Neodiprion lecontei: one gene and its partners. The protein of the gene in region 2 purifies or fractionates together with the protein of the main gene of each other region. This does not show direct contact. Links are inferred from orthologs where the notes say so. Each region holds a gene or a part of one and is shown on either strand. Other genes may lie near its edges. The genes, in order: uncharacterized protein LOC107226935, zinc finger MYM-type protein 3 and ubiquilin-1.

What was found.
Region 1: the proteins of zinc finger MYM-type protein 3 (region 2) and uncharacterized protein LOC107226935 purify together in Drosophila melanogaster (affinity purification with western blotting; 3 studies listed by BioGRID, with this or other methods). This does not show direct contact. The link is inferred for Neodiprion lecontei from reciprocal best matches to the Drosophila melanogaster genes woc and row.
Region 3: the proteins of zinc finger MYM-type protein 3 (region 2) and ubiquilin-1 purify together in Drosophila melanogaster (affinity purification with western blotting; 3 studies listed by BioGRID, with this or other methods). This does not show direct contact. The link is inferred for Neodiprion lecontei from reciprocal best matches to the Drosophila melanogaster genes woc and Ubqn.

Annotation. Positions count from the first base shown.
Region 1 is NC_060262.1:1,989,196-2,001,368, forward strand, and holds uncharacterized protein LOC107226935, read right to left. Parts: upstream 8,355-12,173; 5' UTR 8,199-8,354; intron 8,083-8,198; 5' UTR 8,057-8,082; intron 8,021-8,056; exon of another isoform or gene 7,999-8,020; intron 7,669-7,998; 5' UTR 7,623-7,668; coding exon 7,482-7,622; intron 7,303-7,481; coding exon 7,214-7,302; intron 7,116-7,213; coding exon 7,055-7,115; intron 6,906-7,054; coding exon 6,779-6,905; intron 6,695-6,778; coding exon 6,630-6,694; intron 6,556-6,629; coding exon 6,487-6,555; intron 6,280-6,486; coding exon 6,216-6,279; intron 6,113-6,215; coding exon 5,933-6,112; intron 5,838-5,932; coding exon 5,667-5,837; intron 5,584-5,666; coding exon 5,093-5,583; intron 4,971-5,092; coding exon 4,520-4,970; intron 4,440-4,519; coding exon 4,048-4,439; intron 3,903-4,047; coding exon 3,671-3,902; intron 3,582-3,670; coding exon 3,412-3,581; intron 3,334-3,411; coding exon 3,135-3,333; intron 3,054-3,134; coding exon 2,843-3,053; intron 2,743-2,842; and 9 more. Other genes in the region: trimethyllysine dioxygenase, mitochondrial, read left to right, coding at 1-9, 159-376, 440-664, 768-1,041; lysosomal acid phosphatase, read left to right, coding at 10,079-10,195, 10,466-10,561, 10,670-10,909, 10,981-11,157, 11,229-11,349, 11,430-11,641, 11,720-11,863.
Region 2 is NC_060264.1:28,093,372-28,102,238, reverse strand, and holds the start of zinc finger MYM-type protein 3, read right to left. Parts: upstream 4,484-8,867; 5' UTR 4,269-4,483; intron 4,237-4,268; exon of another isoform or gene 3,958-4,236; intron 3,890-3,957; exon of another isoform or gene 3,791-3,889; intron 3,766-3,790; exon of another isoform or gene 3,747-3,765; intron 3,735-3,746; exon of another isoform or gene 3,486-3,734; 5' UTR 3,370-3,485; coding exon 904-3,369; intron 679-903; coding exon 325-678; intron 211-324; coding exon 1-210. Other genes in the region: synapse-associated protein of 47 kDa, read right to left, coding at 7,432-7,607.
Region 3 is NC_060262.1:19,799,827-19,810,523, reverse strand, and holds ubiquilin-1, read left to right. Parts: upstream 1-3,497; 5' UTR 3,498-3,563; coding exon 3,564-3,665; intron 3,666-3,789; coding exon 3,790-3,982; intron 3,983-4,545; coding exon 4,546-4,834; intron 4,835-5,191; coding exon 5,192-5,875; intron 5,876-6,043; coding exon 6,044-6,173; intron 6,174-6,427; coding exon 6,428-6,566; intron 6,567-6,711; coding exon 6,712-6,788; 3' UTR 6,789-7,672; downstream 7,673-10,697. Other genes in the region: protein SMG5, read left to right, coding at 120-1,890, 2,001-2,336, 2,455-2,522.

The DNA of each region.
Region 1 (12,173 bases), on a different chromosome or scaffold from region 2:
GTCACCGGTGTGAGTACAACAATCATTACATTATGCTACATGAAGGGTATGAAGCTTTAGGTTTTTAATACCGATGTTACCGTAATAGAAACACTTCACAAAAATGACCATCCGTTTCATTATCTTCTGTGAATGACGAGGCTGAACGCTTTTTTCAGGTAGAAGCTACTCTCGCCGTTACCGAAAAATTGATAACCAGAATGGCGCCTGTACAAAAAACTTTTTTCGGCGAAATGTGGGAAGTTCATAACGAGGAAATTGCCGATGCCAGTGAAGTCGCATCGGAGACCGACATAAAGCCGCACTATGACACTGCATACACAAGCATCGCCCTTGGTGCTCATACAGACAATACTTACTGGTGCGACGCTGCAGGGTAAGTAAGAGGTGTTTTGAAATTTTTTAAACATCCCACAGACAACGAGCTTTCAAATTTCAGCCTGCAAGTTTTTCATGGTCTGGAGCCTGCGAGAATCGGAGGAGAAACGCTCCTCGTAGATGGCCTGAACGTTAGTATGCAGCTGAAACAGAGGTATCCGGAATCTTACGAGAGACTGACGCGGATGCCGGTTTCTGCGACCTATGTGGAAGAAGGTCAGCACCATACGCACGTGGATCCGATCCTGAAACTCCACCCCGTCACTAGGGAGCTTTTGCAAATCAGGTTGGCTGGTCTCTTAGAATTTTCCATTCTTGTATCGAGAGGGAGCAGCGAAATGAAGTAAAAATAAATCAAATTAAATAAAAATATCAAATCCCTATCACAGATTTAATCTCTACGATCGTTCTGTGCTGAGAACTCTTCCTCGTGATCAGATACAGCAACACTATAACGATCTGCGCCTCATAGCTGCTATTGTGGCCGACAAAGAGGGGGAAACCCGCGTGAAACTTTCGCCTGGAGAAGTAATTTTCATTGACAACTGGAGAGTAATGCATGGCCGGACCGCGTATTCTGGTTCCAGACTACTTGCTGGTGGTTACGTGTCACGTACCGATTGGCGAAGTAGAGCTGCAGTCATGGGTCTGCTTGATAATTGAAGGTATGCACGAGTGTGTATGATCAATTAATTTTCAACAGATGAGCAAGCGAATTAACTGAGAAATCAGCCCACTACGTAATGATACGACAAATTTTTTCTATTAATTTTTATCCAATGTCCAACGGAAATATAACGTGTGTGGTAGAAAAGAAAGACTTATTAGGATTAATCGTAACATACTTATCGATACATTGTCAAATTTATCCTTAGTACTTGCTATCGGTAGTATGTTCGAAAACGTTGGGTCTCGCATAGGTAATTCTAGAATGATCTTGAGTATCGAAAATTTTTATAATATGTTTCGATACATCGCGCCGAACGACGTTTGCAAAATTTTTCTACCGTATGTAATAATATAGTCTCTAATTTTCAATGTCTGTGAAAAAATTACAAGAAATTATACAATTGGGAAACAAATCAGAACAGTTATTATACATGGCATCACGCTTTGGAAACTTCTCTTATTCAGTGAAGCTTGTCGTGCTTGGCTAATCTGTAACTCGTAAAAGAAAAGGTGCAAACGCAAACGATTACGAACGGTATTAACGAAGCTTAAAGTCGTTCAAAACTCAGTTTTATTTTCATACTTATTGTTAGTTAATCGAAATACCGTAAAATTAACGTAAACACTATTCACGAAGTCTACCGGTTTTACCGAGAAATTTGCTAGACTCAATTTTCACGTCCCTTAAAATCCTCACTTCACAATATTTGAGATCTCGACATCAGACTTTTTTTTTCTTTCCAGATGATGGCAAGAGTCTGTCCTCAACGATCTCTGGCAAATTGTCTTCTAGGGAAGGTTCGAACCTTGTTGATGTAGAGGTAGACGCTTTTGCCCGACGACCATTAATGCCAGTAGTAGAATTCAATTCCATATTTGTTCTTACGGTAATATCAGGCATCGCTAAATCTCCGTCAGTTTTTTCACAAGTCAATGGCTGAACAGAATTCTCCTCGTCGTTGTGTCGGTTTTCCATTCTGTCAATCCTGGGTGGCTTTTGATGAAGACTGTTTGTACCTTCCAGGTCCTTAAAAACCACAACATTTACATGTACCTCATAATAATTAGTCCTTTCATATTTTTGAATTTTTTTATATCTGAAGAATTTTTGCTTTGCTTCAGCAAAAAGCTAATTTTAAATGAAGTAGATCAAATTTTGCCAGATTTAACGAATACTGTTTATTTTATTCTATATTTATATCCAGTAGTGGTTAAACAGCACATAAGGATAATGGAAAAAAAAATTGAAACGGAACTTGTTTCCCTGCATCATTTAACATTTTGCAATATTACAACACCCATACGTCTTGAATATTTTTGGGAACCAATCCCAAACTGTCTAACATTCCAGTCGCCTCGGAATCCTCGGTAGGGTAAGCTGATATCCTTTTACATTTGATCAAATGCGTCGCTGCAAAAGAACCGAAAGATGTTATCAGAATATAAAATTGGATATAAAAAATGATCTCAAACCAGTAGTAAATGAATGAATATACGTTAATACCTAATTGGTTTCCATCAACCGACGAAAAACCGCAAGGACACTGCATTTTATTTTCCAAGGGTATGTTCAGCAGTGGTGAAAGTACTGCTAAGCCGGTCAGTGGTCTAGCATTGTGAAACTGTTGCTGATGTTCCTTGAAAGCTCGCCAACAGCACGTCGAGTATTTGCAGTGCAAGCATTTCTGTTCACCGCTGTAAATTATTAAGTATTACACCATACGGTCATATAACAATCGAAGCAATCATTGTACGAAATTAGTTCTACGACCAAAAAACCGACGGGTAATCTTACGGGTAATGTTCAAGCTCATCTATGTCCTCCTCGCACTCCTGACAAGCCAACTTAGGTGGAGCAAGAATTCTAATCGGTCCTTCGGACCATGTCTTCACGTTCTCAGTGTTGGGTAATTCCTGTATAGGACTATCTATTTCGATACGTTTCACTGGGTTACGTGGTCTCGGTATCATTATACCGTTTTCAGTTGCGATGTACGGAATAATTTCTGTAAAAATTTACGAATACGGTAATTTAGACTGTAATTATTAATCAGATATTATTGATTCTCACGCAGTTCTCAACTTACTAGGGCTAGACAGGAAAATGTGCAACTCTTTCTGATGCGTTATCAGCGCACTTTTTTGGTTGAACCAAAGACAGCATCGCCGACATTTGTTACCCCTCCCTTCTTCACGCCTCAATGAATGCCTCTGCATGTGCAATAAGTAGGCATGAACAACTGGTAGAAGAGTGCCTGAATTACCGTCCGTGCAGAACTGAATCACCTGTTTAACGCGCGAATTTTAGTTATTACACAGAATTGGTAATGACTGGGTAAAAGTCAAATGCACCGTTCTTCTTACCTTGAGACAATAAGGACACATCAGACCATCCCCTTTCTCATGGATTTTATAGTAATGATCGATGACATCTTTATGACTAGATGAACGATAACCACAGGTCTCGCATCGGTATGGCATTTCCGACGGATAATGAGTAGCTGCCATGTGATTAGCCAGTAGCGTACCAATCACTGAAAAGAAAATTAACGGTACAGCAGTCTTATCTGCCTTAATGTTGACTAAAATAATACAAGGTACTCACAATTGAGCATCGACTCACCAAACTTTTCTTCGCAAATAGCGCATACCACCATGTCACCGTTGGCACTTCGCCCCATTGTGCTGTGCGCTTCGCTAACGTGCGTTGTCATTTGATGCTTGGACGAGAATACAGCGCAGCAATACCTACAGACCGGGGATTCCTTTTGTCCAGGTACTTGTGGCCTTACATGGGTCACCATGTGCTCCATAACTTCTGTATTCGATCGCATTATCGTAGTGCACAGAAAACACTGCACATTATAATACAGAGTGTATCTTAAATGAATGTTACACATCTATCTTTCAATTACTTATTGATATCATAGAAAATTCTGTGCCCACTTTTATTTAGTTTTACAAGTGGAAATTCCCGCGAAAATATTGTCGCTAGCTCACCTTCATGTTTATGGAACTTTTACGCTCATCTAAAAGCCTGTTCTTGTCACCCTCCATTGTGGCATAGTAGTACTCCTGAAGTTGTATGTTGTCGCCGCCCTTGTTTTCCCTGTCTCTAAATCTCAGTTCAGGCGTCGATCTTTTCACTTCAGGCTCGGGACTCGTGCCTTTAGAAGCTATGAGTCTTTTTCGGTTTCGTTTAGGCCCCGGTTTATTGTTGTTTCTAGTCAAGTCAACCTGTGTTATAGTCTGAATAATTTCCGCGTTGTTTGATACTGGCTCCTTTGGGATCGAGACCATTGGAGCCAGCTGCGGCGGAGCCAGGTTTGAATAAGACCAATCCTGGAATGGATTTGCTGCAATCTTAGCCAAACGATCTAGTAAACAGTCAGCTGAAAATTACAGATATTGATAGTCAACTTGGAGGTATATAAGACTGCTTTTTCGTTCTCATCCAAAGAATCCAACTTACGAGAATCAATTCTAGTCTGCTCCGCTATGTGGATTATTATATTGTCAAATGCACGAGCTGCTGTTTTACCAAACATTTCACGCCAGACAAGGTCGTCTAGGAATTGTTGTATCATTTGTCTACTAAGAAGACTTAGCGTGTTTTGAAACATTCTTGGTACGATTTTTCTCAGGTATTCCATAATGTGGTAATTACTGAATGTGTTCCTGGGATTTTGTTCAGAAAACGCTGACTGCATCACATTGTGAAATCCCATTTCCTGGAGGGTAGATTTGTCGACTGTGTAATCAGTAAGTATTTTGGATTCTTTGTGGACCCAGTCTCGAAGCGGATTTAATATATTGTGAAACCTTCGTTTGAAGGACCTGTCGCCGTCATGAACAGGGTCACAAGCGCGCAGTCGAATTTCCTGCGTTTCCAAATTCAAGATACCCAATACTTCTACTTTGACCTGTTGAACGAGAGATTAAACATATGAGTTCATCTACAAAATGAATAATATCAAAGATTGAAAAGATACGCAACATACTTACCTGTAATGAGCACAAGTCGATACATAGAATAAAAATTTACCTGTCTCAAATTTCCATCTTGCGATGTAGTTCCAAGGCTGATAACTCCGACTTGAACCATAGAATTTTTGCCACCCATTTTACAACTTTTATCCCACACAGCAGCTGTGCAAATGCTGCGAAGATTGGTGTAAAAATTTTTTACATAAACGTTAGATACTTTTACCCAAGAGACGACGTTCTGCACGTTTGTTTGACAAGCCCAGTGATAAATTAACTTTAGTAAAACAGTTGGAGTGTGCGGAGCTCCTTGAAATATCGAGCCAGAGAATACTGAGACAAAACGATCCGGGCAACAGCTCGATATCCACACGTAACCACCAGAGTAGGGAAATGTACCAGAATCACTGTACATTCCAAGTTTCAATTTAGTCTTTTGATAGTTACTACTGTGCAGGTTGCAGTACTGCTCCGATCGCACTAAACCCTGCTGTATTAGCCATTCGGCAAATTTTGTTGCTGAATACATCAAGACGCTCTTAACTTTAACATCTGAAAACAAGATTCGCCATTAACAGGGGTGTTAATCGTGTACAATTAAACGTTTGTTTTTGTTAAAACACCTCGGTACCGACCCAGTTCCGTTCTCTCTGCTTGCGCAAGCTGTGGCGCGATATCTTTTGTGCAAAGGTTTGGCCGGGCAACAACAACCAACGAGGGAAAAGTCCTACCGCCGTTCATTTTATTGAACGTTATCTCTCTGCCATCTGGCAGGTTGCGCTTCGATTCTTCGATCTGTTCACCGCCTGAAATAATTATGGATTTAAATATTTAGTGCAGCAGATGAAAATGATCTCAGTCACATCAAACTTATAAGGATAAATCGAGACTCTATACTCACTTGCATTTTTGTTACCCACAGATATACCACCTATGCTAGTGTGTTCTGTTGGTCTTACAATGATTGGGGCAGGTTTCTGTTGTGGTTGTTGCTGCTGCTGCTGCTGCTGTTGCTGTTGCTGTTTAGGAACCGTTTTTATCCTCAGATTTGTCACCCCCTGAGGGCTCGTCGTTGCTGGAACAGATGATTTAATTCTATTGATCAAAACCAGAGGTACGAACAGCAACATTCATCATTATTTCTACCCAAATGTAACTGCATTTAACATCAGATTGCAACTTACTAGGAGTAACGACGTGTGTAGGGGTGCCGGTTTTTCCTCTGGTTCTGGAAACTGGAGTAGGAAGCTGAAATTGGTAACAGAGTTACAAGTATTCATATGCAATATGCACTTCTTTTGCATTCCCAGTCTGAGACCAAACTTTTGTTGACTAAATCAAATTCCAATTTTTGGCACGTCAAATTTAGGGGTAAAAAAATAAACGACATTGTGAACAGCACAGGAAATAATACCCAAAACGCCACCGTTCAAGTGAATTTCAGTTTTCACTCACTTCTTCCATGATATCAGGCTGCTGCACTTGGAGCACTTTTGTTCTACGGCCAGATCTCGTGTACTTGTACTGGATTAACAGAAACAACAATTATGAGCCTGATTTTTGATATACGGAACACATAGATGCATCGATCTACGTACGTTTTCATTGGTTGATTGCGAAGACACTACCGGTGAAGGAGTTGCTTGCGTGGTTGGTGGGGTAGCTAGAAAACGACATAGTGTTAGTTTCACAATTGTCCCAGGAACATTGAGTGGTTGAAAATAATTTTAAAATACAGTTTGCCTACATTGCTGCTGTGTAACTGCTCCCAATATAACACCCATCCGTGGATCCATCACAAGCTGGATATTTCCCTGATTTCCAGGTGGGTTGCTTAACATGTTCAACTTTATAGGCTGCGATTTTGCCTGGTTCTAGAAATAACATCAGCAATGAGTATAATACATAAACTGAATCTTAAATAGCTCCTGAATCTGAGTTTCGCACTTGGAAAGTTTATCATTGGCAATTAAATATGCCAAAATGATGAATCAATTGAATTATTCAACAAAGTGAAACTTACTGGATTCAACAACGAAGACTGGCTAGGTTTGACGATTGCTGGCTGTGGAGCATTTCCTGGCCTGTGGAAAAAGTTCAGGGTAATAAGTAGAGAGTGATGCTCACTATTACTAAAAACATTGGATTTTTAACAGCTGGTTAATTGCTTTAAGATACTTACAATGTGTACTGATACCCTTGGACAGCACCTGCTTGACAGAGTAGCTGACCACCACGTTCTTTGATCACTTCTTCGAGTGTTCCTGCAACCTTAAGAAACATTTAAATATAAAACACCTTTATTAACAGTACATGCTGTTGCTGTATTGAAACACTTTACCAGGAATGCCAAAGTTGTGGCAATTTCCCTTGCCTGAGTTTTTAGTTTTCAAGTTTCTCACTCTATTTAACAGAATATACACAAATTACTTCACGCACGAGTTCTTTACCTTATCATAATTTTCTTTCAGCTTTGCATTGTGCGCAAGCTGAGATTCGCTGAGAGGCTCCTCAGAGCAGTCCAAGTTAAGCGTCATGCTGATAGGCCTGGTATGGGTCACAGATCGAGTAATTAACCGTCCTTTCGGCATTGTTAAATTGGTTTACCAACCAGTTCAGGTATCCTCGATCTGAAAACTACAAAGTGATGTTAAAAAGGTTTTCAAAAATGTGTCGCTCCTGAATAGCGGATAGCGATGGTCAACGGGTAGCGGAGTATGTTACATCCATTACATACATTCAACTAAAAAATAGGAGAATATGTGAGAAGCAAAAAAATTGAAAATCATTAAAGAAAAGATTGTAGATTTAGTATTGTAGGTGCAGTAAAATTATGTTGATAATGAATGAGCCTAATTTATTATGGTTACATTAGTGTTTTTATAATAATATGTGTGGGAGTGAGAATTGTATTGTTTAGAAAAAAAATATTCTGAATGATACATTGATGAGGTAATTTTGAATTACAGTTTGTTTAAATAAAAGCTTTGAGGTTGTCCCGTCTGCGGGTAAGCAATTCTATTACCTGTATCAAAAACATCGGTTTGTCCGCTACAGTTGCGGCATTGGTAAAACGATAAATTTTGATGTAAATAAAATATAGGTTACGGGACGATATTGAAAATCCTACGGTTAATCAAATGTGATTCAATATAATTTCAGCCTACCTTCACTATTCCTTGGCAAAATACACACTGCAATTTTATCGAGTTTGAATCATTATCACCGCGGGAATATCTTTATCAAATAACAAAAATCACACAGCGCAACACCGCAACAGCGGTGTAGTCGCGACCACGTTAAGATGGCGGTTCTCGCGCGTCTCCGCGGTGGATACTCTCTGTACTATAGAAAACTAAAAAGAGAAGGCAGAAATAAACGAATGAGCTCGGTGCGACTGTGGTGGAGATTACTTTTGAAAGAGGCGGTATATGTGACCGTTAAATGCCACGTTCCTGTACTATAGAAAACTAAAAATAGAAGGTAAAAATAAACGAATGAAACCAAGCACGACTGTGATGGAATTTATTTTTGAAACACGCGGTATATAATGTGACTCAATGCCACGTCTCCGTATGATTGGAAAATGTCCTCATGACGTCAGAGCCTATAACTATAGGCGCCATTTTATCATCACATAACCTAAGTTTTTAATTTTAATCGAGGCAAATCGTAATTCTTAGGGTTTCAAATTACTCATGACACATACGTTTAGGAAACATAATCAATAATATACCTATTCTAATGTGGACATGCGAAAAAACACAGACAACAGTCAGCTGTCAGCTGGTTGCATTAGTTCAATTTCTTTCCATCAGATGACGATTTGCAAAGAGTGATAATCTCAATGGAAACGATGGAAACCTTAAAAGAGAAGGTAGAAATAAACAAATGAGATCGAGTACGACAGTGATGAAATTTATTTTTCAAACACACGTTATATGTAATCGCTAAATGTGAAGTCTCTGTACTATGAAGAACTAAGAAGAGAACGTAGAAATAAACGAATGAGATCAAGTACGACAGTGATGGAATTTATTTTTGAAACACGCGGTATACAATGGGATTGCTAAATGCCATGTACCGAGATAATTCTACGCCCATTAAAATTCCAAGATGTCAATGGACGATGCAGTCTGATGCGTTGAAAACATTTTTACGCAACGATAATGAAATAAAACTTATTCAGTTCAGGGAATAAAATTGTACACGTCGTTTTCACTGTTGTTGTCTTTTTATTCATTAAAATTAAAGATATCAAATTTTCCTCAATGTCGTTGCGCTTGCTATTTTTCAGACTGATTGAACAACTAGTTCTTTACACATTCTGAAATCTCTCATCGTATCATAATCGTAAAACACACGATAATTGAATTTTACTAACTTGTACAATAATTATTTCAATAATTTTGCAACAAAAATATTGCAGTTATAAATTGTAGGCGGATGCTGGATTTAAATTACAGTCTTGAATATCCTTACAAGTAACACCATAGTTCGATTTGCAATGCACCATAGTTCATGCGAATCATGATACATGAAATTCCGCTTTACTGCTTCTTTGCCTTATTATATGGAATATGCGTAAACTGGAACGCTTTTAAGCGTGGATTTTGTAAAGATATTTAATATCTAGAAATTTAGACTAACTACCCACTTATCAACAAAATTACGCAAACGAATCAAACATATAAGTTTTAATTATATCAATAAATCGTTCAGTTATGGCAACATCGCCAGTAAGATAACACTATAATACCTACGATGATAATGAACCCTGAGTTTTACTGAACTTGAATTCACGCATTTACTTTAATTTGATAACGAGCCCTGAGGTCAGTATCGTCAGAACTGTGAACTTGAAAACGTGTAAGATCTTAAATTGGACTACGGCATGAGTTAAATAGATACCAGTTGCAAAATGAATACGGACGGAGTACAATACAGAAAATTTATCTTTATCTAGACATTGCTTATCCCAATTACAAATTGTCATTAACACTATCCTAGGAACTATTTTATTAAGTACGGGTCAGAACCCTTCAAAATGCGTGATTCCTCAGCCGTTTTTAGAGTGGCTATTGCCTTCGTTCTCCTAACTTTTCACTGCGCTGCCTCTACTTCACCATCCCACGAACAAAAGAGCCTGCAACAAGTTGTTATCGTAAGCAAATTGCACGAATATATAGCCATGTGTAATAGTTTTTTCTTATCTTTCCCCTAGTGAAAATGTCCCATGGAATCCATTTGGTTCCTTCCAATTTCCGATGGGATCCTATAGGAATCCGGCAAATCCGTAGGAACTTGGAACGTATTTGGATGGATTCTGTGGATTTACTATAGAAATTGTCAATAGTGTTAAAGAACTGCGAATCTCCAAAAAGCCATCATTCTGGTAATGGTATACTAGCTAATTGTGCTACATACGTTGCAGGTATTTCGACATGGCGACAGAGCTCCCATTGATGTTTATCCGAATGATCCTTATGCTGATTATCCATGGCCTAGCGGAAAGGGAGGATTGACTAAGGTTGGTTGTTAATTTATAAGTAGCAGAAGAGAAGTTTAATTCGGTTTAAAAGCTCGTATCTATGTAACAGTACAAACTAACTTTTCGTACAAATTTCGTATGCACCAGAAAGGAATGCTTCAGTTGTACACTCTGGGGCAACGGATACGAGAAATGTACGGATCGTTGATCGACGACGAGTATCACAGCAACGAAATTCTGGTACGTAGCAGCCATTTGGACAGAGCCATCATGTCCGCGCAATCGCTTTTAGCAGGACTTTATTTGCCGAAACCTGAAGACCAGTTCATACCAGGTTTACTTTGGCGTCCAGTTACGGTGCAGACGATACCGCAGGGTTCGGACAAGGTTGGTGAAAATGTTCTGGAAAAATTTACCATCGCAAAACTGTCCATCGATTATTTAGCGTTTTTCATCAGTTGATCGTGATGGACGTGCCGTGTCCGCGCTTTGAGAATGAATCTGCTCATTTCATTTCGGAGTTAGACGCAAGCTATAACGACCCAGTTCTCTTCAACATACTGTCAAAGGGTACCGGCATGAAGATAACATCTTTAAAAAGTGTTTTGTATCTTCGCGACATATTTCAATGTCAGGTAAGATGCTTGAGTCAAGTGATAGAATTTGAAGAATTTATTCACATGGGGCATGTCTCGAAATCATCTAGGAATTGAATGGATTACCATTGCCAGACTGGGCTACAAACTTCTTGAGGAACCAAACCATAAAGGCATCCGTATACTTTGATGCGCATATGAACAGTTTAGTCCAGAAGCGGCTCAGAGGCGGTAAGTGCGAAAATTTTTCGTACAAATTTCTGGTATTGCACCACTCATGGCACCTACAACCAAGAATTCTATTTAAGTAGGACCCTTGTTGAAGGAAATTTTACAAAATATGTGGATGAGTAAGAACGGAACCAACGAACGCAAAATGCACCTTTACGCTGCTCACGATTATACGCTTGTGTATACTTCGAGGCTCTTAGGATTCAACGAAAGACACATTGAGCCGGCATACGGTGCGTGTTTTATCTTTGAATTGCACACAGTGGACGGTGGACGAGATCACAGAGTCAAGGTTAGTTAATACGATGCTTTATTATACTTACGGCTTATGTATTTGTATGTTAAAATATTCAACGAGTTTCTGATCCAGATATCATTCCTGAATACTACGGAAACAACTATTCCGCACCCCTTGAACGTGCCCGGATGTGGAACTTCCTGTTCGCTGGAGACGTTATCAAGAATTTTGAATCCAGTGCTGCCTGAGAACTGGGATAACGAGTGCATGACATAACAAGGCCGCCGATTTCGAAATATTCATATACGCATGTAATGCACAATTGTTGTAGACTGAATTTTTCAAATACGTTTTCATACTATAAGATAATAGGTACTCGATGTTGCATGATCATAAACCTATTTATAATAAGTTTAATTTCGAAAAATGTGACATATTATACGAAACTAAGAAATTTGCTGAGAAAGCATACAAATGAAAAATAAAAGAGACGCTACATCCTAGACATTGAAAAGCTGTCAAGAATGGCTAGGATAATACAAAGAATATCGGATAAGGTTGTGAGTTTGACTGTTCTGCTAATGAC
Region 2 (8,867 bases):
TCTTTTAGGATTTCCAGTTGGTACCGGATCGTCGCTGGATGGAATGGTGATCGGAGATTTCGTGTACTGGCTTTGAAAGTTCATCACGCATTTGTAGGAGCAGAAATTTCGTATTGTTGCGTCTGACATCGTGAGATGGTATTGAGCTTGTGAAAACTCTTTACAAAAGTCACAGTTTATTCTCCTTGCGGATACAGCGTTAATGGAAACCTGAAAAGTAAACACGATTTGCAGAATTTAGTATTAGTTTGATTAAATTTCAAATTCGTCTACAAAATTTGTTCGGTATTAGGTCTCAATTGAGATAATCTTTGGTCTACTTACTTGATAAAGGGTGAGACAATTCAAACTGCACATCATCATTAATTGTCCAGATTTAAGTTCCTTCTTTATCATATCGAAATTGTACTTCTTAACTTTGCACCAGTTGCACGGTACAATTTTTCTGTTAGTTATTATGAAAACGTTGAGGCATGTCTTGTTACAGAACATGTGCGCCTCTCCTTCATAGAAGACAACAAAATTCTTTTTACTCAACAACTGGAAGAATTTTTTACACGTCGAACATTGATCTGGGTCAACCTTGTTCACAAATTTAAATGCTGCAAAACAAGGATCACTGCATATGGCTGCTGGAGTCCCTCCATCAATTTGTACTTCGCAGTGGACAATTTTTTCCTACAAAAAAGTAGTGAAGAGGGTTATAAATATACATATACATGTAACGAAGTACGTGTCTTTTTCATCTCTGAAGATGTAGGACTTGATCAAAGAGCAAAAGTCAATCTATACTCTTCCAACCAAGTAAGCAAATCTAAAGTTGCTCTCTTCAGAACAGATCTACATTCTGGGGACTTATTGTTGGCCTCGACTAGACTATGAATGGTAAAAAGTAAATCTCACCAGTTGGCAAACACTGCAAGACTTTTTCACTGATGCCGGAGGTTCACTGGAGCTCATTCTGGAATATTTCTCCATGCAATCCTGAGTGCAGAAGTCTTTAAACTGTCCTTTATCCCCCACAGGAGCTAAAAATCCTTCTGTACCAGAACTGATATCCTTCTGACAGTAGCTGCATACCTTTAATCCTTTTTTGAATTCCTCTAAGCATGTTGAGCAGCAGAACTGTCTGACGTCATACCCAAAGCGTACACAGTACTTTCCTAGGCTGACCGCCTGGACGGAGCCATTGCAATTCCTACAATAGCTTCCGTATTTGGTTTGGAATTTGCCCAGGCATTCCTCATTGCAGAATTCCATTGTCTCCCAGGAAAGATTTTTCTCGTCATTCGCATCGACGATCAAGAGACACCCTGCGCATCTCTTTTCCCGTTTTGAGTTAACTCCATCGCTCGGAATATCGGTTGCTTTGTTATTAGCTGCCTTAAATGAATTCCTACATTCCTTTGAGCAAACATTGAAGCACTCTGTGCCTATCTTCACCTTTATTTTGCACGACTGCTCTTTATTGCATTGTTTACACTTCTCTTTCTGCTTACTTCCCTCAGACTCTGAATTTTGTGGATCGTCATCTAGGTTTATAACATCAGCAGAAGAAGGCTTGCCACCCTTCGACTTAACGGTCACAATTCTTCCCTTCTTGGGAACCAACTGTCCAGATATCGCCTTGGTTACAACCGGTTTTTTCACAATAGTCAGACTTTGATCGTCATCCATAATTTTTTCCGAATCTACCGCATTGTTCTCTACCGATTCTTCCTCCGGCTTTTTCTGACTCTCTACGCCTTCGCTAGTCTTCTCTGCTGTTCCTCCAGGCAAAATGACCTTCATACTATCAGGAATAATACATAGTTCATCATCCTGCCCAGGAAGAACATCAGATGATATGTCTTCGGCCCCTAAAGGTGGAAGGCTCGCCTTAGCCAAAAGTTTCTCTCCTTCTTTACCATCTTTTTGGATCTCATCATCTCCGGGGCTTTCTTTTCCTTCAGCTGCTTCTCCAGTATCTCGTTCTTCAACAGCCTCTTTGTTGTTCTCCTCCGATTTGTCCTCACTCTCAATCGAAGGAGTCGTAACTAACTTCTGCACTTTTACAATTTCGTCAACAGTTTTATCGGAAATAACATCTGCCACAGAGTCACCACTGTCAGCTTTACTCAGTATTTCATTGCTCAAATCATCTTTAGATTTGTCTGGCTGAAAGTTGTCCTTAGCTTTAACTACATCCTGGAGGTTATCAGCCTGGTCTCCAAGCTTCTGAAGGTCAGCAATTTCCCCATCAAGATTATCAGCCTCCATATGATCGTCGTCTGGATGTTCCGAGTTCTCATTGTCACCGCCGAATGGATCTTCCGCATTATCTATGGACTGATTTTCTATGTGAGACTCGTCATGCTTATCCTCTTGCGATATTTGCACAAACTCTGTATTCTCAGGCTCTATGACAGACACATTCTTTTCTACCAGTGCATCTTTCTCCTGGCCATCGAGACTAGATTCTGAATTTAACGAGTCAAATTTTTTTGTATCATATTCCACAGCACTTTCACTAGCTTCAGGTTTTTTCTCAGCCTCGACACCCCCGCCAACTTTCAAATTCCAAAGTGATTCTTCAGGCTCAGATACCTTTTGTTTTGTTATATCTACCTCTACACACTTTTCAGAATTAGGTTCTTTTTCCATCTCTGGATCATCAGCACAAGTATCTAAAGCCTTTTCTACATCAGAATGGTCAGATTTTTGAGGGGATGGAGGTTTTGAACTATCCTCTATATTGTCCATACACTTTTTGGAGTCAGGTTTTTCTTCCATCGCTGTGTCGTCAGCACAAGTATCTAAAGCCTTTTCTACGTCAGGATTATCTGATTTTTCAGGAGACTGTAGTTTTGAACTCTCCTCTACTGTGTCCAAGTTTCTCTTCTCTGGCTTTGAAGGTTTTTCTAAATTTGGAGAGTTGCAAACTATAGTAGATTCTTCTGCCTCAGAGGTTGGATTTTCACTCACACTTGTCATAGATACATCAGTATCTTTCCATTCCGAGTCAAGAGGATTTAAGCTAAGGGAATTTTCGTTAGATTCAACATTCTTGTGGAACGCTAGGTCAGTTACAGTAGATGACTTAATCACTCTATTGTCTTCTATCGAGTCAACTAGCTTAGGAACAGACGCTGTATCTGCATCAGATTTGGGAGTATCTTCTAGATTTGTCTCACAGCTTTTAGGGGGTACGGGGTCTTCGTTTTTATCGTCAACCACTGCTAGAGTTGTTTCCAAGCCTGTAAGACCATCTTTTTCGGGTGTTTCGGCATTTTCATCCATTACATATGCCCCGGCTTCTGGTTGAGCTTCCGTAGAACTAGGAACAATCGAGTCGTCAGTCGCTGAGACGGCTTCTGTGTCTTGCTCCATGATTATGATTTCGCACGCTTTTTGTTTTGCACTTTGATGTGTATTTTAACAATGACTCAAGCCTCATTAGCGGGAAGCTTCGGTAAGATTATTCCATCGTACATCTTCCCAAAAATCTGTAATGAAAAATTAGTCTTATATTGAAATCGGCTTGAAATTTGTCAACAAATAACAATAAGAGAAATTGGTTAAGTTTTTAGAGGTTAGGTTCGAGATCGACTTGCGTTAACACCGCCATGTTGTATTTATTATTTTTAGCGAAAAAAATAGAGCTGATAGTTGGTAAGGAAGGTTATACAAGACGCATTTTTAACCCTTGTTATTAAAAAGAGAATGAATTTATTCTCTGTCAACAATTGTAAGGGGAAGGTGTATACTTGTTTGCTTGAATGATAAACAACTATACAAACGAATCACGCACCAATTACGCGACTGAAACACCCTAGACTCGGTTTCTCGTGCGTAGAAAAGTTTTTAACCAAACTGTTTGATGTGATTTAATGATATACGCATACATGCACAACGACGCTGCAGGTTTCGGCGAGAAACGCCGCACAGGTAATTCGTGGTATTTTCTTCTTTACTCACTTTTTAGTCATATGTAATTCACGTGCCTTCGCATTCAATCCTGGTCAGAGGGTTTGGAGCCAATATCATTCACTGATTGTTGGGATTTTTTCCTTTTTAATAAATAAAATGCACAAATTCCAACCCCGTTCAACTGACACTTTACACACGTATTTTTTAAGGCTTTGTTTGTGTGCTACCCCATCCAAACATAGGCGGCATGATAGATGGCGCTACCAGCCCGGGAATCACAAGGCTCACAAAGAATATCAAATTCTCATCATTAATTAACATCAAATTGCGTGAAATATTATTTCAATTGAGAAACATACCTGAAAATGTGACAATAAACTCCCGTGAGGGTGAGATTTAATGGCTTCAATCAACGCTCGTTTCAGCATCTTGTATGTGCGTTATTTTATGGCGAATTCGATTTACAGAAAAAATGCACACTCGATGCAGATTTCTAGCTTTTTCGTTGGCTCAAGGCTCGGGAATATATACTCAGTGCGCATTTTTTCTGCGAGCCAAATTCGCCATTAGAAACATTAGTAGGGATTTTGACTGGCTGCGCCGCGGACGTTTTCCCTAGGTTTCCACCGTTGCTATTGGTTGGAAACTAGGGAAATCGCACTCAAGGCAAACAGTGTAGCCAGTTCAAAACGCTACGGTCGCATGATGAGAATTACGTGTGAATGAAATTTAATATTGATTATTGTACAAAGATTTGATAAATTTGTTACAATTTTCCCCGTGGATTGTTAGTAAAAAAAAGACAGTATGCCAGCGAGTCTCATTGTCAGAGCAAATTTCGGCTAAACGTTATGATAAGGATAGGGCAGTGTGCATATCTTGATGTGAGATTGTCCATGGTGACGCCACACAATCAAAATTATTGTATACGCGATGTAACAAGTGAAAATAATTATTTCATACTTATTTTCCTCATGAATAGTATATCCTCTTGCGAAATGCGGAAACGACAAATTTAAGAATAATCCGTCGATATCAAGGAATGCATCGAAGTATAAAAATAGCTTCGATTGAATAACAATCACCTAGTTTGAACAAGATGCAAGATTTGAATACATAGCGTGCGAAGTATGCGAATGAAAACAGAAATAAAACTGATTCATTGATTTTCATATTTTTTTCACAAGGTACACGACCTCTGTGATTACATTATCGTAGCTCTATATATATATATATAGGTATGTATGTATGTATTATTTAATAATTTCTTTATTTTTTTCAAATATTTAATGGTTGAATTTGTATCGTATTTTTATTAGTTTATAATATAATATAGGTATATATTATATATCATACTTTCAATAGAATCAACAGCATATATATGTTGAACATTACTAGCAGAGATCTTCGTCGGACTAGGCGTTTCACTAGATATATATATATATATACATACACATATATATACCTACAGCCTTTCGATATTGCCGCTAGATATATGGCCTTTGAATTTTCCCGCTAGATATAGGTATATATGTATATATAATGTATGTTCGTATTTTTATATTTATATATATAATATTTAAATTTATATATTATTATAATCGGGTGTATGTTCATTATTTATGAGTGATAATTATAATTTATGTACTTCTTCCAAATTTTCTGCGTCGTAGAACATTCATCGTGAATATCGATTCAATATTATTTATACCAGTATGTATATATTATATATATATAATATAAGGAGTCAATAATTTTCTATCTCATCCGAAATTGATATAAGTACGTACATACATATTGCTATGATTTGAATTGCGAACGAATTCAAGGTAATCAACAAATCAATAAATTGATTAATAACAATATTGATTATAACTACAATTATCGTGTAAATAAACTCACCAAATAATCTGTATGTGTATATTATTATTATTATTGTTATTATTATATTCAACACAGGTACAATATAATTAATTTTTTTTCATAACTGATAATTATTATAGACATTTTCAAAATCTCTCGCTGAGAATGCATATACATATAATAATGTTATACGTATAGTTATATATATAACGTTAAATGAAATCAGCTTATATATTAATTAAATATCTCATTTTGTTTTTTCAACTCTTAAACTTCTAACTTTTCAACCAGGCTTAGGCCTCGCAATCGGTCGCATTTGACCAACGACTAACTGGACAAATTTAATATTGGCAATTTAATATCTACCGTAGGCTATACATAGGAAAGTAAAAAGTGAAACTTGGATCTGAATTCAGACCCCACTTCACAAATGCAATAAAAAGCAGCCGGTTATTACCATTCTCTTGTAATAACATTGAGCTAGCAAACCTGATCAGATCTCGCTTATAATTCAAGAATACAGAGATTAAATGCGCAAAGAAATTAACGTCATGGTAACCTGCGCTGGACCATTTTGCAAAGAAAACACATAACCAGGTATTATATTTTGGTGGGGGTGCTGCTGCTGGTATTATTGAAAATTATCGCCATTGATTTTCATTTCATCTTCCGTATTTCATTACTCGTGTGTTTCAAAATTAATCGATGCTTCTTCGAATACAGATAAGGATGAACGAGGGGCGAGTTGAATAATACGTGAGGCTTTGTGAAATTCGAGAGAAATTTGTGAAACATTGTCGTTGGAGAAATATTTAAAGAGTACAGAAAAGTACCCACGCTATGATCAACATTCAGAAAAGTAAACAGAATTTTTACAACAGTTTTCACAGAGTTCCATCAAATGTCTCTTGAGATTTCAAAACACACTACCTGTAATTCAAAGTAATCCATCCGGTAATATATGTATAAATACGTGAATATACAATTTTAGGCCATATTTCATTCTTGGCTTTCAAAAATACGCTTAGCTCAAATCAATAGCAAATAGGCACCGATACTCGTTAATTAGTACCAAGCGTTTCCGAAAACTCTCCTTACCATATATTCGCGTTTCTCACGTTGAAATTCAAACCAATGATCGATTATTCATGGAACTAATGAACGAGCCATTTTTTTTTCATCGTTGACTGACGTAAACGCGACTGCATTTTTTATTTATCGTATCTTCATTCGAATGGTAGTTGGTGGTGGCTGGAACTGGAGGGAGGAGGGAGGAAGGGGATGGGATTGGTGGGGGTGGATACGAAGTTACACCCCTGGAGAAAAGCACCGTTGCGACAAAATCGAGCCCTTCTATCGCGAGGGCATAATATCGTTTCATTTACCGCGATGAACTGCAGTGTATCTCGTAGCTGAAACCTAACTTGTGAAACAAGTATGAAAAACGATAATTCGTTACTTTCTTCCATTCCTTATTTTCTCTCTTTCTTTCGTTGGTTGATTTTGTTGTTTTTGCTTTTTTATTTTGTTTCTTTTTTTTTTCCAAACCACTCGTTCTTATTTATTGCGTATGAATGGATGAAGGAATAATAAGGTAAGTGAAGAAGCGTCGAGGTCAATTTACTGGGCAGAGATGATCCTCGTCGATGACTAGGCAGTTCACTTGAGATCATCCTCTTCGCCGAGCAACTCGTCGATTTGTTCCTCCCAGTCGTCCTTCCCCAATGTACCATCTTTCAAAGATCCAGTTCCTCCGCTCGTCGTTGTTTTCTCCTGTCCAGGTACGACCTCGAAGTCACGAAGCTCCGCTTCCAATTCTCGTTCCCATTCTTCTTCTGCGGAGAGTCACACAACAAGCAGCGTGTAGATTTTAGCAGATTCCCCGGTCATTGGGTGAATTTTTTTTTTATTGTATTTGAATCCAAAGATTTGTTTTTGTGTTTTTTTTTTTCTTTCTTTATTTCCGGGCTCTCTTCCGCAATGCTTTGATCTTTTGACTCAATAACGTCGGGCACAGGATTAAAAAATAAACATACAAAAAAAAAAAAAAAAAAGATCAAGGAAATCTTGAGAAAAAAAAAATAAGAAAGAAAGAAAGAAAGAAAGAAAACTCAACGGACAATGTGTAATAACGAATAAGCGATGAAAATAAGAAAAGCAACGTAGCATTTTGGATTTTGCAGTTCCATGATCGATTGCTCTTAATGAGATCATACTTGATCATTAGATGCAAAATACAAATTGTCGACGAAAGCGTGAAAGAGTTTGTAACGTGAATTAAAAGCAGATCGGGGTGATGGGATTATGAGCGATGCTTGATGCGTTATAATTAGTTCACTTCCCGGTATGACGATGGGTTAATTGTTACTGTTCCGAATGGAGTCCGATGCATCGCGATGTTAAGGCGATGCAAATCTATGAGAAATGGTATTATATTAAGGCCGATATTCGTCGTCAGTTCTCACTTTTGAGTTTGCTTTCTTAATTATGCTTCAAGGCGCGATTGTGCAAACTGACGATGAATACCGACCTCGACCAGAGACGGTAATTATTCATTACCAAAACATACCGTTAATTTACAGTTTTGCATTACCTTAATGTAATGAAAAATCAATGTTTATTTTAATGTACTGTATTTTTCAATCCCCCCCCCTATGTAGTAATCTGAAATTCCTAACGCTGTGTATATAATACAGAGTATTTATACGTGGAAATATGTTCATCATAAAAGCATAACAGGATGTCTACTATTTTCATCAAGAATCAGGTATCTCAAGTTAGACTGCCCGTATCCGTATCAATTTCACGACTAGTGTATCCGAGTCGTAGCCGTCAATTGCACGCATTCGTTTGTATAGCAGAATAAAGTGCGAAAGCACGTTACTTCTATCCCGTCAATTTTACATCGCATCGATCATCAATGAGATGCCCGTGTACTTCGATGCACCGTTCGCCATTGGCGTTATCTCGACGAAGGAGAAAGAAAAATAAGAAACGACACATTGAAAGAATATACCATCCGATTCCAATCGAATTCCCTATACATATATCTCCAAGTCGTGATATTAATTATCATTTTAAACACGTATTGTCAT
Region 3 (10,697 bases), on a different chromosome or scaffold from region 2:
AGTGCATTTTTTCTAGTATTATGCCTTTGCTACTGTTTAAAACCTAGGAAAATTGCACCGAGCGCATACTGGATGCAGCCAGTTTAAAACTCCGTAAGCAATATATCAATTCTTTGCAGGAATTACTTGCCGAATTTGAAAATTGTCTCACACTTGAAACAACTGAATCAGACAGCAAGAAGGAAGAAGAAAGTAGCATTCAATTGTACCTACAAAGTTTTGCCGAGGATGAACCTTACCATCTAACTGACGAAATGGTGTTCAAAATCATGGTTATCTGTTTTATGACAATAATGAAACTCCAGAGTAAAGATTCGCCCGAAGTTCGCGGTGTAATCGCATTCACTTTGGCTATTTTATCCCAATTGCTACAAACTACTATTGAGAGATTACAAGAGTCAGTGATCAACATCTCTCTGCTAAACAGCGAAGAATATGTGACAAGTAATCCCCAATTTGTAAGAGAAAATGGAAATGACGAATTGAAGACTGATGATGTTCAAGATACAAACGGAATTAATATTGAAAATAAGCAGAGTTTACTAAACTGTGATAACAACTTTCTCGATATTAACGATAATCGCAAACACTTGGACAATATCGAAGAGACTTTTATCGATGTTGATGATCTATTGAATGGGGTCAAAAAGTCGAAAGACAAATCGAAGAGTTTATTGACCAAGCTTAGGCGTCCGCGAAGGCGCAAAAATAGTTCTGACTCTGATGCGAGTGACGCCGATGGTGCAACGATCGGATCTTCCAGCGATGAATTGAACTCTGATATTTCCGAAACTGAGGAGGATGCTTTGAGTGAGGAAATTATTTTGTCAGATGACGGTGTATCTGAAGATTTGAGTGACACCGAAGTTCCTCAAGTAACAAACAAGGAACAAGATTCTATTGTTGAAGATAAAACGAATGCTATAGGTGAGACAAACCCGACTTTGACAGATATTAAAGAAAGTATAAATACTCTGAACGCCAACATATCATCGAACAGTGTTAACGAGACAGTTTTAAAAGACGACAGAGATTCCACCACAAATTCTGGAAGCGCATTAACTGTAATAACGAACGTTGATTCAAACAGTGCTTATGATGAAAGTAATGGCTCAAGTAATACCATTGCCTATGTAGCTCAGTTGAAGAAGCAGAGTCTGGGTACTGCTGAAATAATGAATGTTCTGATGGGCGAAGGGATTTTGACATCAATCAAAATTTGCTTCGACTGGTTGATTGGTAACCCTGACATCGTGCAGTCATGCGCCAAAAGTTCAAGTACACTACTAAAAAGGATATCGACGTTATTGAATTTGATCAACATAAATGCGGATGCTTTGTTCAAAAATCCAGAGAACATCACATTATTCCAAAATCTCAATAGCCAAAACTTGAAGAAATCTGTTGAAGTAGTACCGCTTCCCGAAGATATTGAGCTAAAAGGCCTTAAAGTTTTTGATAACACGCAGAAGACGCTTAACTGGGAATCCCTAAAGAAATTTAGAATGAACAAAAGAGAAGAAACGCTACTAAGAATAATGAAATTAATCAAATTTGGTCATTTTCTATCTACTATAGAGGAGTCTGGCATATCATATGATGAAACTACACGACTCTTCGTTACCTCACATGTCGATAATTCCACAGCATCGAACATAGATAGCAGAAAAGAGAAGAAGGAATCTGAGGCAGATCATCCCCAGGGAAAACTAATGCGGCACATGGGGAGACTGTGGCTGAAAGCTGAAGTTAGAGCATTGGAAACCCGTTTACGGTCCAGATTAATGTCGCCATATCTTGTGCCTGACCATGAGGCTCTCTCGAAGCACATGCCAGCTCTGAAGCGTCTTGTTTATGCAAAGCGATTCATTGTGGTCATACCTTCCGTGGGTAAGAATATAACAAACAATTATCTAATCCACGATATATCAACAATGCTACTTTAACTATATCTTAAAAATTGTCATGAAGATTCAAAACTTTCGTTTGTTAATTTTCAGTTGTTTCTGCGTTGGATGAGGTCAAGCGTACGAGCAGTAGAGCTAGGGAAGCAACTAGGTGGCTAGAAGCTCAATTGCGACGTGGTTCGAGATTTTTACGCGCTCAAAGACCGCACGAACGACTTCCAATTCCCCTAGTCAAAGGGCCCAGACCAAAGGATAAGGAGGCATGGCTTTACTTTCAAATAATTGAATGCTGTCACTACCTGACAAACCAGACGAAAGTTAGTCTTACGAGTGAAGGAGAAGCCCCTGTAGTTACGTTACTAACTGGATGCAGCGCAGATGAACAAAAAACTGCAAATTTCAGTCCAGTTGGACTTGCCAAAAGTGCAGGTAAGCATTTCAATTTCTGATTCGTGATTGGTGGACATTATCAAATTCACTGAACTTAGCGAATTGAATCGAGCAATATTATCTTATTATTGAAACTGGAATAATATTTTGTTTGCAGGAGTGAACCTCGAGCATATAGAATCGTTTCACACAAAATGGAAGGCGTCCAGTAAGAGTCACGGTTGAAGGCGAATGGCCGATGAGAGAACAGTGTCTGTAATTCTCGTATATCACAACGACAGCCGCGGGATTCATCCGCCAGTAATAGAACCGCGCATCAAAGGGCGAACGTATCGGCGAGTGCTAGTGGGGTTGGAAACCCGCAACGAATATCACCCACTATATTTCCTTACATTTGAAATAATGCGGATAACTTAATCATTTCGCATTGTATATTTCTAAATTCAAAAACAACCATGATATATTATTTTTCTCTTAATTAATCGCATTCTCCTAAGTTACATTATAGAAATTATATTTTCTATGTCCGTATTTCCGAATAAAAATAAATTCATATTAGTAATACCTTATGATTACATTTTGTAGAATATGAAACGGTCATCTGCATCGCAAGTTTAAATATAAGAAATCCACACTCGTTACCATATTTGAAAGCATTAAAAAGGCTACTTCCTATAGGTTTTTCATTTGTTGCTCAACTGTTAACGCTAGAAATTGTTATTTTTCATCATTTTAGTGGCCATTACTTATAAGCGTGTGAAATCAGACAACGTACTGAAAAAGTATAACAGAATTTACATGTTATTGTATATGTATTAAGACGAATGAGTAGTCTCTGATATCAAATAATTGAATAAAATCACATTATGTATCTGGCTCAGCGTTGAAATTTATGATGATCCTTCATTCAAGTTTTACGAAATATGAAAATTTCTGCGTACCGGTTTAACTTTTAAAAAAAAATCACAAAATTGAAAGTAAAAACATTCGATTTGTAAGTCAGTTGATAGAAGATGGTTTATTTTTTCAGATTTGTATCTGGCTCAGCTGGGAAGAATGGTGAACTGAACGCCTCCGGAGAAACACGAAGTATGTAATTGCATGAAGGGCGTTGAATCTAGGGAGTTTTTGGAACGCTTGAAAGAATGTACCAGATCAACGAGTGAAGCGCCCGTCGAAGGCTGCGGCAGAGTTCCAACCCGGTCCTTTTCCCTACGTGCGAAAATCGAAAGCATCCCAAAGTAACGAGTCATCTACCACTCAAAGATGGCAGAAAGCCAGGAGAGTCAGAAGAAAATTACAATTAATATTAAAACGCCAAAGGAGAAACAGAGCGTGGAAATAGAAGAAAATGCATCAATCAAAGACGTAAGTGTTGGTCACGTGCAGCGTAGCTTGCGAACCTCGCGACCGTTGTCCGACTAGTTTACTCGCACGATGATTTTGCTTCGCTAATTCATAATATATATTCCCGAACGATGGTGATATGCAGTTCAAAGATGCGGTTTCCAAGAAATTCAATGCCCAGCCCGATCAGATCTGCCTTATATTTGCCGGGAAAATCATGAAGGACCACGAGACACTTGCCACACACAACGTCAAGGATGGTTTGACCGTCCACTTGGTCATCAAGGCTCCCCGGGCACCCGCCACCCAGACGGAAGCTCCGCCACCCCGGCCCCCCGGTAAGCAACTCGCGTGCGTCGCTGTCAATCATGAGTAGAGATCAACTCAGGGTGTGGAATCCATTAAGGTCCATATACCTAATTTATCCTCATCATTCATTCCTGGTTGACAGACTTGTCACCCACGGTGCATGTGTCCCCATAAACTGCTAGTAATCTTGTGCCATGAGTTATCAACCACAGACGTGTAGCTGTCAGCTGTTATCGCAGAATTTCCTTTCCACACCCACGGAGTTGGCGTTGTGTGCCAATCAACATGCAAAACAATCCAGTTTAAATCATCTTTTGACCTATTTTCAGCTAAATTAAGCTTTCTTATCTAAAAGAGATTGCCATAATGCAAATATTCACCAAATATTCAAATATGTTTCCTGAACAGCTGATGAAACACCAGCACCAGTTTTCTAATTTGAGATCTTCTCATTTCTTCCACTATAATTTCTAATTCATCTTCCTTTTCGTCCCTTTCTCTGTTTCTATTTTTTTTGTTCTCATAGTCCTCTCACGTACCATAAGCTTGTGCCAGTGTAATTTTTTTTAGTGATGGTGTTTCTGCTTTCCAGCCGACGTTAACGCCAGTCCCTTTGGCCTAGGAGGTCTGGGGGGACTTCCTGGCCTTGAAAGCCTTGGATTGGGCTCGGGCAATTTTATGGAATTGCAGCAACGCATGCAGCGTGAATTGTTGTCTAGTCCTGATATGATGCGGCAGGTGCTTGACAATCCGTTGGTGCAAAGCTTGATGAACGATCCTGAAAACATGCGAAACTTGGTCACATCTAATCCTCAAATGCAGGAATTAATGCAGCGCAACCCGGAGATAAGCCACATGCTCAATAACCCAGAACTTTTAAGGTAAGTTGCTTACATGGTTTTATAAATTGCCATCATTGGCAAGAGGTAAATGATGCTTTCAGCTCCTTTTCGATCCCACTCTGGTTCAATTGTGATGCACAATAAGTTTTCTTGTATTACATGTATTTTGTTCCATACTTTAAAGTCAATGAGTTTATGTGATACCAATAATTTCCGAATGTAATCTTTTCTAATCAACTGGTATTTTGACACTTTTCGGTATCGAAAATCAGTGAAGATGTATATGAATCATGTTGTGACTTTGCAGCTAATCACTTAAACAAGATCTTAGTTTTCTTTCATTTTTCCAAGATATTTTGCCATCTACCAGTTTTGTACTCATATCATATTTCTCAGACAAACCATGGAATTGGCGCGAAATCCGTCAATGCTACAAGAGCTGATGCGCTCTCACGATCGAGCACTCTCCAACCTGGAAAGTATCCCTGGTGGTTACAGCGCATTACGACGAATGTATAGAGACATTCAGGAGCCCATGCTCGCTGCCGCAGCCAATGAACGCAATCCATTTGCGGCTCTAGTCGAATCCAGTCAACCCATTGATGCAGCAAATCCTCAGCAGGGGCAGGAGAATCGTGACCCCTTGCCAAACCCTTGGAGTCAGGGTCAAACGGCACCAGTGGGTCAAGAACAGGGACAGGGGCCAGGGCAGGGGACCAATCCAAATCCCATGAGAGAAGGCATTTTGAGTTCACCTGGAATGCAGAGTTTGACCGCACAGATGATGGAGAATCCGCAGTTGATGCAAAACATGTTGAATGCACCATACACTCGTGCCATGCTCGAGGCAATGAGTGCAGATCCCGCCATGGCCTCCAGAATGATATCGGCGAATCCACTGTTTCGAAGGAATCCTCAAATGCAGGAGCAGATGCGAGCTATGATGCCAGCCTTTTTGCGACAGATGCAAAACCCCCACATTCAGAGTGTTGTTGGTAATCCAGAAGCCCTCGCTGCTATTCGACAAATACAACAGGGCATGGAACAACTTCGTACTGTCGCCCCTGAACTTGTAGACAAGTGAGTGTCTTGTCCATACAGGGTTGCTGTAAGCCTAACATGTTGCTAAGTTTGAAATTGTCAAAAGATTGAATTCTCAGAACTATAACTTATGACAACCCTGAGTTATCAATATTTTTCCAAATTTCCATTTAAAGACGTGCAATGTATTGTTTATTATCGTCATAGCATGGGTCTAAGTGTTCCACCGGTACCCACCACTCCTACGTCTGGTGCCACAGTACAAACCCCGACTACAGGTCCGCAAACAGACGCTGATCAACAGGGCGCAGCATTTTCCCAATTCATGGCTCGTATGGTAATTGTGAACACATTTTCTTTACTCAGTATACAAAATCTATACGGTCCGTTATGTATAATCTTGCAAATCAACCATGCATACGCACTTATACAAACATATCAAGTGTTTTCTTCGCCTTGCAAAAGCATTGATTTTATTCAGTTAGGTTACACAGTATGGAAATGAAATCGACTCGTTCCCAATGGCGTATGGATACATTATAGATGTAGTCAATTAAGCCCTAACAACCAACTGTGGTATAATTCAAACAGGTATCATCAATGGCGCTAAATCAAGGTGCGGATGGAGTTGCTGGAGGTCAGCAGCTTCCCCCTCCTGAAGAACGATATAGAGCACAGCTCGAGCAACTTACTGCAATGGGTTTTGTAAACAGGGACGCCAACCTTCAAGGTAATTAACTCGACAGAATACGTACTTATAGTTTCAAATCAGATTTGACCATGTGTAACATGGAAGATTGAAAAAAAGAGTAGATAATTCGGGTATCATTGCAGCGCTTTTGAATGTAGTTTGAATATTAATTATTTGATTTCAGCGCTAATCGCAACATTTGGAGACATAAACGCAGCTGTTGAGAGACTACTGGCAAACGGACAACTGTCTATGAGCTAACCACCAATCTGTAACCTGAACATTTCCATTATGATACCTAGTTTACCTTCTTTACACCTGTTTGATCGCAGGCAGACACCCGGCAATTTCGACAAGAAAAATTATGAACCCTCAGTCCTGACTCTTAGCAGGATAATACACGCTCTAATGACTCATTTGATGTGCATTTTTATTATTTTAATGTCGGATCGGTGCCCGTTCGATGTGGTTTACCAAATATGTGGCCATTTGGAACAAGTTCCGCGCGACGACGACATTAGGTTTGGATCGATTCTTGTCGTCTTATTTTCTCGTTCGTGTATTATTTGATGTGCTATAAAAGCTATATAATTGTAACAATATATTTTTTCAGTGCAAAATTATTTACAATGATTTAGAAATATTATATTATATATTATTACATTATTATAATAATATGAGCTGTTCGATTTGTCTAATTGTAGCATACGAAAGGCATTAGGCATTGTGTTTTCTCAATTACAAATTCATAGATTTGTAGCAAAGTCATTGTTGGATGAAGATATAAAGGACCTATGTAATAGGCCTGAAAATAGACAACACGTGTTCGCATTGAAAAAGCCATTTACAAATTATTCCGCATTGTATGAAAAGTGGATGCATTCAAGTGAAACCTAATTATCAGCTAGTTTTTAAGTTGAAAAGGTGAAAGTTGTAAATTATCATTATCAAACGGAAAAAAAACCAAAAAGACGAAAAATATGATCATTTTACCTCCCATGATTGACATATTACTACCGAATGAATATGCGTACACATTTATCGTATAGGTGTTTATTAGTCTGGCTCACTCAAGTGAGACATTCTGTAAAAGCTATTATATATGAAATAAAAATGTGGTTGATTAATAATAATAATAATGATGATAACAGTGATCATATAATATTGATAGTAATAATAGGATCGATAAATTATTTAATCTCAACTATCTATTCCAATTTTCCCTCCTCAACTCTGCAATAAAGAGGGATAGCCTTTCATTATCAATGAAAGTGCAGACTGAACGAATTGATCAAGTCAACATTTTATAGATTTCGAATTGAAACATTGCCAATAACTGATTTTCTCCGGACGAATGTTTTCAATCCGAAATTGTTGAAATTTTGAATTGATAAATTTGTTTTATTTTATTGATATAAAACTGCCAATTATATCCTTGTGAAATACCAAAGCTAACGAATATTTGTTTCCTCAACCGTGTGTGCGTTATTGATACAGAATTATTCAAGATGGTTATTCCGTTTTTTTTTTTAGTTCAAACTGCTGTTTATTTTCACCTCATTTTGATATTTATTGTGCATTATTAGCATGGGTTTGATACGAATAGCACTTTCCAAGTCTCGTATAAAAATTTAGCAAAAACATTTAGTCTCTGGAATTAGATTCTACGGGATTTCCGTTACAGGATTTAGTTTTACTTGACCGTTACGCTCTTACATAATCTAGATTCTCAATGGAATTAACGGGATGAAACTTTTTCGCAGTGAAGCTCGAACGCAGCTGAGAATTTGGAAGCTGGATTTGAGAACATTCGATAATTGATAACATAAACAGAATTTTTGCAGTCCCATTGAAAATTCTAGAAGACATTTTTTTTCAAAGTTTGTAATATGACAGCTGCATTTCTAACCACAAGTCACAAAAGCTTAATTTTTATCGGATTCGTTACAACCGGTATTTTATGCTCGTCGATTATGCAAGGCTGATTCTTTCTACATACTGTAATATGTACGTTCGTAAAGGAACACGCCAGAGCTGAAGCATGTTCCCATGTTCAAAATGACTGTGGTATTCTTTTTCGAATGACTTTTTGATCGATGACTGCAAATCCATCGGAAAATTACTACTCTTGCGATCATTGCGGTAATGTGAATACTGTAGCAGCACAGTCTATCTCATCTCATCATAGCATCGGTCACTGCATTGTGATAAATGATATAAGATCAGAAATGACTGTGTCTTGTTTTTCTTTGACGTACAAAAAGTAAAGTCATTGATTTTGATTGATATATAAAAACTAAATTAGCATCTAAAAACATTTGATTTGCTATTGATTACTAGTGTTCCAGTGTCTAATGCAATAATCTCAACAGAATGATATTAAGAATTGCCAATTACTCAAAACCCTGGCGAAGGGTACGACTAACCAGAATGGACAAACCGTACTACGAATCATTGAAAAATTCATTACTTCATTCTAAATTATTTTCATTAATTTCAACCAAGATCGAAGAATGGTCACATTAATCGTTTCGCTTCGGCGTGAAGTTTGTCAATATTTTTGTGTCGCACTTCAAATCAACAGTGATCTAACGCTACTCTGAAATGTCATCGATAATTGACGCCTGAACGAAGCGAAGGATTTCTACAGAATAAAGATAGAATCGATGGAAGCCTGAATGAAACTGTGATAACGTGTGTTATATTTCCCTACAGAGGTCTATCCTTGGCTGTGAATACAGGCGGCGATAAATTACGAGCAACAAAACACAGCCGACCGACGGCTGCCCTTCCCTTCTCGTCTTGACGTACAATCAAGTCACCGATCTACAGAGATCGGTGAATCAAGTCAATGGAAATACCGATCGAGTAACGACGGTAGCGGTGCGCCAGGGGCGAAACCGTTGAAGATCGCTGATCGCGCGGCGACCGTTGGAGGATCGAAAAAGGACCAATGAGAGGTCGGGCGGTGCCGCAGCGCCTCCAGTCGTTCCTCGCGAGTGCCGCGTTACCGCAGTTGCCGCCAGTCGGGCAGTCGTAGTTGATCTTCGTTGCGTCTGCGTACCTGACTCGGTGTCCCCGTGGCTCGAAATCGGTTTTAGAATCGTGTTTAAATCCCGACGATAATCCACCGACCGATGCGACGGACAGCGTCGCGTTAAGGTTCCGGAATCAGGACCGTTTAGCGGCGAGGAGCGAGCTGACAGGGCAGGGAGAAAAGACGCGGTTAACCAGCGTCGGTGTTGACTACTATCGGGGGAATATCCGAGTTCCGTTGGGTCGCATCTCATCTCCGAGTTTAACACACGCGCGTCGAATTGCACTTTAAGAATGTGCGAGGGTGAGGTTGTGACCAAGGGAATATACGTCGACGGTTGTGACACGCCGAACTGGAGGATTCTTCCGTGTTGACGCGGCATCGCGTCGGTGTTGCGAGGGATAATATATTAACCCACGGGCAAAACAATACCCGCCGGAGCTCGAAACTGACCACCACCACTGTCTCTGCCGCCCACTCGAGATCGGAACCTCTGGAAACCAACGGAATGTAGCACGAGGTTAGTCAACGAATGCCTGCAGTTCGTTCTCTCACTTCCCCAATTTTCACTCACACAATCGCTCCACGCACACACACGCACACGCTAAAGGGAACGAAAATAACTCCCCGCAATTATCCTCGATAGTCGTCGCAGGTCGACACACGCGAGATGTTGTGTACGCCTAATTTGCATACGCATATTTACGCTCGTGGCTAGCTCCTAGCCACAGATCGAGCGCCAAGGCGCGCCGACGATTCTCTTCTGTTTCACGTCCGTTTGCCTGCAGTACCAGTTATGCTCTCACGGCGGACGCGTTCCTCAAGTCTCGAGAGCGGCGGACCGGCCAGCGAGAAGACCCGAGTCGTGACCCGAGACGGAGATTGATTCGTTCCTCGTTCACGTGTCCCGTGCCGCATGCACGCTCGTTAAATTCCACGTTTCTATAATCGGAGACGACCCTGCGGCCCGAAACATCCCTTTGCGGCCACGCGAAAAGCCTCGCTCAGAACTGAGAAGCTGTGCGCGAAAGGAGTCAGCGCGGCGGCTGCGAGGCTCGCTGGCTGTGTCCTTGACCCGCTACGGCATCCCGCTTCTGTATGTCAAACAACGAATTCCGACCAGGCCGAAGCTC